2 linked regions of the Nothobranchius furzeri genome follow. The protein of the gene in region 2 binds, or shares a complex with, the protein of the main gene of each other region. Links are inferred from orthologs where the notes say so. Each region holds a gene or a part of one and is shown on either strand. Other genes may lie near its edges. The genes, in order: bag6 and ubl4a.

Region 1 (4,588 bases), on a different chromosome or scaffold from region 2:
CCCCGAGTTTCCTGTTTGGATTTAATATTTAAATGTTTTGGGGTAATACTCTTTATAATTTGAAGTAAGTTTAATAGTTTTGAGATTTGCATCACGTTTATCTTCAACATGTAGCTTCTCCTCATGAAAAATTCTTAGCCGATCTATGTTCTAAGTTTGTTTTATTTCTCAAGGAAACTGAAAAGACGGAACTTTCTTCTACATTTAATTTGTTAAATGATTGAGAAAAGCAAAAGGAAGCATCTTGATGTTTTTTTTTATTTACTCATGTTTTCGTGGAACAGGTGCCATAACAGAGGAAACACTTTTAACCCAAACATATCTGAAGAATGAGGATAAGAAAACAGAAGAGGAAAATCTGACCTAGAGTCAGCGGTTCCCAGTTTTATTTAATCAACAAATTGTTCCTGACACGTGACTTTCATGAATGAGCTAAACTACAACAATCAAAATAAAAACCAAGAGTGATTTTTATTCTCTGCAGCTCCATGTTCTAATCTGATAGTGATGTTTTGTTTGTTTGTGTCCCTTCCTGACCCCTCTTTAGATAAGATGCTGCCTGTTCCTGTCTGGATCCATCTACGACTCCCCCTTCAGCACTGCTGCCAGCTCCCCGCTCTCCTTCAGCTCCTTGACTATGTCCAAGCCTCCGATCAGCTCCCCTTTCACATACAGCTGGGGATAAGTGGGCCAGTTGGAGTAAGTCTTGAGCCCCTGACGGACCTCTTCATCCTGCAGGATATCAAAGGTGTCATAGTCCACCCCAGAGGCGTTTAAAATCTCCAGGATCTGCCTGCTGAAGCCGCACTTTGCAGCCTCCTTGTTGCCCTTCATGAACAGCATTACTGGACTCTGGTTGATGATGGTCTTCAGACGGTGATCCAAGTTCACGGCCTTGGGGCAGGCGTTCTCCAGCTCCCCTGACTCCGCCAGCTCCTTCACGATGTCCAGTCCCCCCACTAGCTCCCCGTTCACGTACAGCTGCGGGTATGTGGGCCAGTTGGAGTAGGTCTTCAGGCCCTGCCGGACCTCTTCATCGGACAGGATGTCGAAACTGCTGAACTGGATGCTGTGCTCCTTCAGCAGCGCCACTATCTGCCGGCTGAAGCCGCAGCGGGGCTCCTGTGGGGCGCCCTTCATGAACAGCATGCAGGGGGCCGCGTTAATCAGCTTCTTTAGCCGCTGGTTCAGGTCCTCTCCTCCCGATGACTCATTCGGGCTCCCGGCCACCGCCAACCTTTGAACCATCTTGGTCAACTCCGCCGCATGCGCCCCGTCCAGTCGGTCCACTTTCTCTCCCGCCTTAAAGAAAACGACCGTTGGCACCGAGGAGATTTCATACTTCTCCGAAACCTCCGGGAGCGTCTCCGCTTCTAGCTTCACGAACGTGGTGTGCGCGTGCTCCTTGGCCAGCACGGTCATCACCTCGTTCATCTGGCCGCACTGAGGAGCCCATGGAGCGTAGAAGTGGACCACGGTCAGTCGTTTTCCAGCTTTAGAGAGGATATCCTCAAACTGTTGTTGACTTGTCGCTTCCACGAGATTCGCCATCTTTTCTTCTCCTTGAGCTTTTTCCGCTGCCGATCTGACGTCACTTCCGTGTAGCCTAGTAGCACGAACCGGAGGTAAGAACTACCGGAAAGTTTTCTGTTACCGGGAGATAAAAACCAGCTGCGCGTCCCGGATAAGTTGCAACGACAAAGTAAGCATTAAATGAAACATCGTTTTGTAAATCCAACTTTCCAAATGTTTTTCTTTTCTTGTTACGCTCAGTTGCTTTAGCACGAGCTTAGCCATTTGACCAGTTAGCCGTATATATGCCGATGGTTGAAACTCAGATATTTCCAGGTTTATTGGCTCTTAGTAGTAACTCACTACTGCTAAACGTTAGACGTGTTGTTTGTTTAGTCGGGATTAAAATGCAAGAGGAATTTAGTGCAAGAGCTACGTTGTTCTGGTGTCTAGTTGTCGGGATGTAGCTTCGGTTGCTAAGGGGCTACCGTTAGCCTTTTAGGTTGTTGGTAAACATCTGTACATGACTTAAAATATTAATTGAACAGACTGTAAAACAAATTTCTGTATTCACATGTGAATTTTTCTAACTTTATGCTCAGCTTGTAATATTTTAGTGACGCAACAAAAACTCTCCGTAAAATTTTTAAAATGGGGTGTTTTTTAGCCTAGAAATCCAGACCAACCGTAGCAGTAGGGAGAAGTCTCATCCCTTTCCGGTCAGCTCATGGGTTCCCGGAAAAACGAAAAAATGAATGCAACTCAATGCGGCTAAAAGAGCTATTTTCTAATCCGCTTTGCCTTAGGCCCAGTGTCACACATATGTTGCACTGCAATTTAAACGAAAACTAATAATGGGTGTTTGGACCATGCAAGTGACATACTTTGAGATTTATCAGCTTGTAAAAGTTTGTAATTAGCATAACTACAAATTAGACATCAGCACGTCACATACAGTATATGACGTTACCACAGAATCTCTTCTCATCTAGAATAGCTGCTATTTACAAAATGGCCAGATTTATGGTGTTTTTTTTTCCTCCCGAAGGAAGGATTTTAAGTTGGCTAAACTTACAGCCATTTCTGTTTTTCTCCGTGGCTGGTTTGATGACGTCACTTTCGTGAAGCGCATTGTAAATGATAAATGACCCGCACTTGTATAGCACCTCTCAGAGTATGGACTCCAAAGCGCTTTACACTACAGTGTATCATTCATCCATTCACACACATTCACACAATGATGGTGATGAGCTACAATGTAGCCACAGCTGCCCTGGGGGGGGGGGGGGGGTTTGCACTGACAGAGGCGAGGCTGCCAAGCACAGGCGTCACCGGTCCTTCTGACCACCACCAGCAGGCAAGGTGGGTTAAGTGTCTTGCCCAAGGAATTCTCTGTTGGAGCCGGGATCGAACCTGCAACCTTCCGATTACTGGACAACCCACTCAACCTGTGGAGCTACTGCTGCCCCAATACTGTAGTCCTTATTTTCACACAAAACCTAAGTTTTTTATTTAAAGTTTATTATATTTCTTAGCTCATTTGAACAGTACGACTGGTAGAACATTGCTTGCATTTTGCAAAGAAATCACATTAAATATTTAAAAACATATATTCTTAATGAAATAAAAGTATGTAAATGTCAGAGGTCACCACCAAACCCACTGTAGAATAGATGCAAATCTGCAGCATGCAAGGACCATGTTTGAGGGGGTGGGGTGATTTTAGTTGTCACCTTTTTCTCAGCTTCTGAGTTTGCAGGTATGAGAAAATAGATGCAACTAATACAATTATTTTTTGTTCTTCTATACCAGCTATTTGCTTGTGTTTTTGTACCATGTGGCTTTACGTACCATTGCTACAGCTTTGCTATCCCAGATGTGGCATAACCTGCCAGTTGATTAAGTGAAAAACAAAGCAATGCAGTATTTCAAAACAATGAGTGTTTAACAGTTGATTAGTTCATTGCGATAATTTTTATATTTAGAAGGTCTTAAAAAGTCTTAAATTTAATTTTGAGATCCCTGCAAGATCAACTGTCACATCTTAGGAACAATTGACCCTGTTCCAGTTCCTACATTACCACCCACCCTGAGCTCCCTCAATACTGTTTCATACTCCGAGCTGAGTAAGCCAGTTGCGAGGCAGAAGCCATCTGGCTCTCCACTTGATGTTCTACCGCCTCGTCTCTGGAAGGCTGCCTTTCCGTGCCTTGGCCCTTCACTTGGTCAGATTATCAATGGGAGCCTCAGCACAGGTGTGGTCCCAGCTGCTTTGAAAGCAGCAGTTATTCGGCCGACCCTGAAGAAACCTGGTGCTGATGTCTCTGTGATAGAAAATTACAGGCCTATCTCTACCCTGCCCTTTACATCTAAACTGCTTGAGAAAGTCGTTTATCAGCAGCTGGTCTCACATTTAGCTGACTCTGATCTGTTTGAGGTTTTCCAATCAGGGTTCAGGTCTGGCCATAGCACAGAGTCTGCTCTACTGAGGGTCCTAAATGACATCTATCTATCACTAGATCAGGGAACATCTGTGCTGCTTCTGTTATTAGACCTGACAGCAGCCTTCGACACAGTTGACCACGCGATTCTACTCGATCGCTTGGAACGATGGGTTGGGATCAAAGGGTCAGCTCTGGACTGGTTTAGATCGTATCTCCAAAACAGGACATTCTGTGTTAAACTGGGTGATGTTTTTTCTTCTTGGGAGGGGCTCCGGTGGGGGGTCCCGCAGGGGTCGATCCTTGGTCCACTTTTGTTTGCCATTTATCTGCTACCTCTGGGGTCAATCTTTCGTAAACATGGCCTATCATTCCATCTGTATGCTGACGATTGCCAGATTTACTCTCCATTGTGTCAGGAGAAAGGTCACTCTATTCAGTCCTTTGTCTCCTGTGTTAATGAGGTGAAGTCTTGGCTAATGTCCAACTATCTACATCTGAATGAGGGAAAGACAGAGCTCATTGTTTTTCACCCCAACAGCAGGAATGTGGATCGTTATGCTGATCTTGGCCCTCTTTCTCCATACTCAAAACCAGTTGTTACCATTTTGGGGGTGAAACTTGATGTAGGACTT
Region 2 (3,815 bases):
CTCGCTCACCTGGAGACTGTTGGGAGTACTGTGAGGATCATGTTTTTTGACTTCTCCAGTGCCTTCAATACCATTCTTCCCTCGGTTCTGAAGGACAAACTAGTGAACGTTGGAGTGGATCATCACTTCGCTACCTGGATTCTGGACTACCTTTCTGACCGACCACAGTATGTGAGGGCTCAGGGCTGTGTGTCGGATAGTGTCATCTGCAGCACGGGGGCCCCCCAGGGAACGGTTCTGGCTCCGTTCCTTTTTACCATCTATACTGCGGACTTCTCCTATAACTCAAATCAGTGCTTCTTGCAGAAGTTCTCGGATGACTCTGCGATTGTGGGTCTCATCAAGGATGGGGATGACAAGGAGTACAGGAGACTGACTCAGGACTTTGTGGACTGGTGCCAGCTGAACTATCTACAGATTAATGCCAGCAAAACTAAGGAGCTGGTGATAGACTTTCGTAGGCATAAGCATTCCTCGCTTCAACCACTGAGCATACAGGGCATGGACATTGAGACTGTGGACAGTTACAGGTACCTTGGGGTCCATCTGAACAATAAACTGGACTGGACTCATAATTCAGATGCCCTGTATAGAAAAGGGCAGAGTAGGCTGTACCTACTACGGAGACTGAGGTCATTTGGAGTAGTGGGCCCTCTCCTGAAGACCTTTTATGACTCTGTGGTGGCCTCGGCCATCTTTTATGGTGTGGTCTGCTGGGGCAGCAGCATGACTGCGGGGGATAGGAAGAGGCTGAACAGACTGATCCGCAGGGCCAGTTCTGTTCTAGGATGCCCCCTGGACCCTGTGGAGGTGGTGAGTGACAGGAGAATGACAGCTAAACTGTCATCCATGTTGGATAATATCTCCCATCCCATGCAGGTGACTTTGACAGCTATGAGCAGCTCTTTTAGTGGGAGACTGCGGCACCCAAGGTGTGGGACAGAGAGATTCCGTAGGTCTTTCCTCCCCACTGCTGTCAGACTTTACAACAAATCTGTCGGTTGAAGTGTACTCTGTATTTCTAGCTGTATCTAGTATGGTTATTATTTATTACTTTTTAACCCATTCTTAAGGTATAAACTGTCTATTGTATTGAGTTTATTTTATCTCATTGCGGTCGGTCTTATTGTATTTTAATGTTTTTCTCCCTCTTCAGCATAACTTTTACTTTTACTTTGCTTGGCTGTAAACGAAACAAATTTCCCACTTGTGGGACTAATAAAGGTCATCTTATCTTATCTTATCTTATCTTATCCTTCTCGCTGAGCAAGAGCAAAACGAGACAGGAGGGTGTGATTTGTTAAAAACTAAACAGCTACTGGACAAACATGCTGTTAACTACATTGAATACTGACAATGCTACTGAGCTCTAGAGGGGACATAGACAAAAAAAAATATTTTTTTCATATTCTAAGAAGCAGGATCCCAAGATAATTTTATATAAATAGACTTGAGATCTCCCAAAACAAATTCGGGATTAGGACTGAACCATCTAGCATCAAATTGCGATTTCAAACAAAGCCGTCACGTGATCGTCAAAGCAGTTTTTTTTGTTCTCAGCACTCCTAACTGATCCAGGATCTGTTGTATCAACTGTAATACACATCCAGGGTTTCCCCTGGGTTTTGAAGCGTAACAGTGGAAGCAGAGAGCGCCAGCGGGGGTGGGGTCCTGATGCTTGAGCTGACAAGAGACCCTTTTGGTCATTTTTCCTAATTTTCTTCCTTTTAATGGAGCTGCTACACCCAATTTTATCTATGGCTGTGGTCATCTGTTGCTTATTCTTTCCTCCACTTGACATCGATCGTGAGACGAATCGCCCACTTCCTGCAACTGCAGGAAGGGATTTACCGTAATAACACTAACTAGTTTTAATGGTGAAACTTTTCTTCTGTAAAAAAAATTTGAATTTTTCTAATGCCACAAACCACTGCAGAGTTACAGGAAATCATAGAACATGTTTAAAATGTGTCAGGGTTCAGTCTTAGGAGTGTTTTTATGAGAAAAAACATTTAAAAACAATTCTTACCTTTAGTTTTAATCCTTGCATTATTAGAATATTAGCTTTGATGGTATGATGTCATTTCCTGTCAGGTTTGTAAATGTTATAGCACATTTTGCTAAAGCTTGATTTGAAGAAACTCGTGGGCAACACTTTACAATAAGGGTTCCTTTATTAACATTAGTACATTAATAAACTAGTAAACAAAGTACCGTATTGGCCCGAATATAGGACGACCCCACATTTAAAAATTATTTTCAATGAAAAAAACCTCGTCTTATATTCGGGTCAACACGGTATTAACAACTATGCAGACACCCCCGTGGCCCGGACACTTAATGCTTAACAACAACAGTAACTTTAATAAAGGGAACCTTTCTTTATTAATACTTAATAATGCACTAAGTAACTTTAATAAAGGGACCCTTATTGTAAAGTGTTACCAAAACTGTGGATCAAGTTGGTTCTGTACCTTTCTCTTCAGCACAACTGACAAAGGTTTATGATGGGTCAGTCCTCCTGCATGCTCAGATCATTCCCTTCCCTTGCTTGAAAAATTGTTCCAAAATTAAAGTTGAACCCACATCTTTTTTATCTGTGAATTCAATGCCGTTCGGCGAGTCTCAAATAAAAATTTGGGCAACGTAATTATCTTTTCCTTAAATTGTCCAGCCCTGGTCGGGATCTCGCAAAACAAAGTCGGAAATAACAATAAATAAAGTTTCTGTCCCCTCTAGAGTTCAGTATAATGCACACTCACTGTTAGCGTAAAATATGCACACTTAAAAATGTAATCTAAATGCGAAGCCTTTCAGCCTGTATTTAATGCTACTGTTAATATCTGTTATCCTCCTGCTTGTCCATAGATTAACATTTACTATAGACAGGTTACCATGTTAAAAACCAACAGGTGATGTATTTTAATACCTTCATAAGCTGCTCGTAGACTTTAGCTGCATCTGCTGGACTGAAGTGTCTGGCTAGTATAGTGGACACAGTTTGCCACACTCCTGCCTGTGGGCTGCAGCTGCTGCTGCTGCTGGGAACTCCACTCCAGTCTACCAAAGGACGGGCAATCAGGTGCAACTTAGCATCTGGTCCAATGGAGTAATGACGCAGTTTGTGATCATCTAAAGGAAAGAAATGTTATAATATATATATATTATTACAGTAGTTGGAAATATCTAAATTAATTTCTCAAGCAACTCTACCTGCGAGCAATCTTCCTTTGTAGAGTAACCGCTGCCGGTTTACAGGTATCTTCAGCTGCTCGAACAAAAGCTCCTTCACTGAAGAGACTTTGTCATTTTCAGAAACCTACAAGATGAACCACACAATGATTTAACGACAGGCCTCTTTATATTTCATGCCACCTTGTCTTCTCTCTCCTTTATCTTGCTGTCTGTTACCCAGATATAGATCTCACAGAATCCAATCTCCAGGGAAGTCTGAAATCCCCAAAATTATCTGCGCCACATGCACAGACTTTTCTTTGTGCAGAAGTCTTTTCTGGGTGCAAGACTTATAATGGGTGTGTGCTACATCATAATTCTAACAGATGCAGATTAAAAAGAAAAGTGATGGATATTGTTTTAGTCTTTTGACAGATAAGATAAGGAGGTGGGCTTTAATAAAAACAACCAATAAATCTGTGTCATATGTCATTTTGAGCCTATTTAACTGTTCTTTTAAACAGTCTTGTGTTCTTACATGTTTTGTTGAAAAGACTGTTCTTTTAGTGGTTTTCTCACATTTTTCACTCACATCTAGGAGAGAAAGACAGGGGCCTTGTTCTCACCAACCAAAAGGGTGC

What was found.
Region 1: the proteins of ubl4a (region 2) and bag6 are in contact, whole or in part, in a crystal structure (PDB 4X86), measured with the Homo sapiens proteins. The link is inferred for Nothobranchius furzeri from reciprocal best matches to the Homo sapiens genes UBL4A and BAG6. Residues at the interface, in NP_055050.1 of Homo sapiens: Val95, Leu98, Ile99, Val102, Leu103, Arg105, His106, Phe107, Ser108, Asp111, Arg114, Val115, Gln118, Leu119, Asp122, Tyr123, Glu124, Ser126, Leu127, Ser128, Leu130, Ile135, Leu138, Arg141, Phe142; in NP_001092004.1 of Homo sapiens: Gly1052, Pro1053, Leu1055, Leu1057, Ala1060, Val1061, Ala1064, Ala1065, Ala1067, Ala1068, Ala1070, Arg1071, Pro1072, Leu1073, Thr1074, Ser1078, Leu1079, Asp1082, Leu1083, Glu1087, Val1088, Ser1091, Tyr1092, Gln1095, Leu1096, Asp1099, Ile1100, Arg1103, Leu1104.

The regions. Positions count from the first base shown.
Region 1 is NC_091745.1:60,779,762-60,784,349, forward strand, and holds the start of bag6 (large proline-rich protein BAG6), read left to right. Parts: upstream 1-1,576; 5' UTR 1,577-1,702; intron 1,703-4,588. Other genes in the region: glrx3 (glutaredoxin 3), read right to left, coding at 580-1,551. UniProt on the Homo sapiens protein: ATP-independent molecular chaperone preventing the aggregation of misfolded and hydrophobic patches-containing proteins.
Region 2 is NC_091757.1:40,372,935-40,376,749, forward strand, and holds part of ubl4a (ubiquitin-like protein 4A), read right to left. Parts: intron 3,320-3,815; coding exon 3,214-3,319; intron 3,133-3,213; coding exon 2,930-3,132; intron 1-2,929. UniProt on the Homo sapiens protein: As part of a cytosolic protein quality control complex, the BAG6/BAT3 complex, maintains misfolded and hydrophobic patches-containing proteins in a soluble state and participates in their proper delivery to the endoplasmic reticulum or alternatively can promote their sorting to the proteasome where they undergo degradation.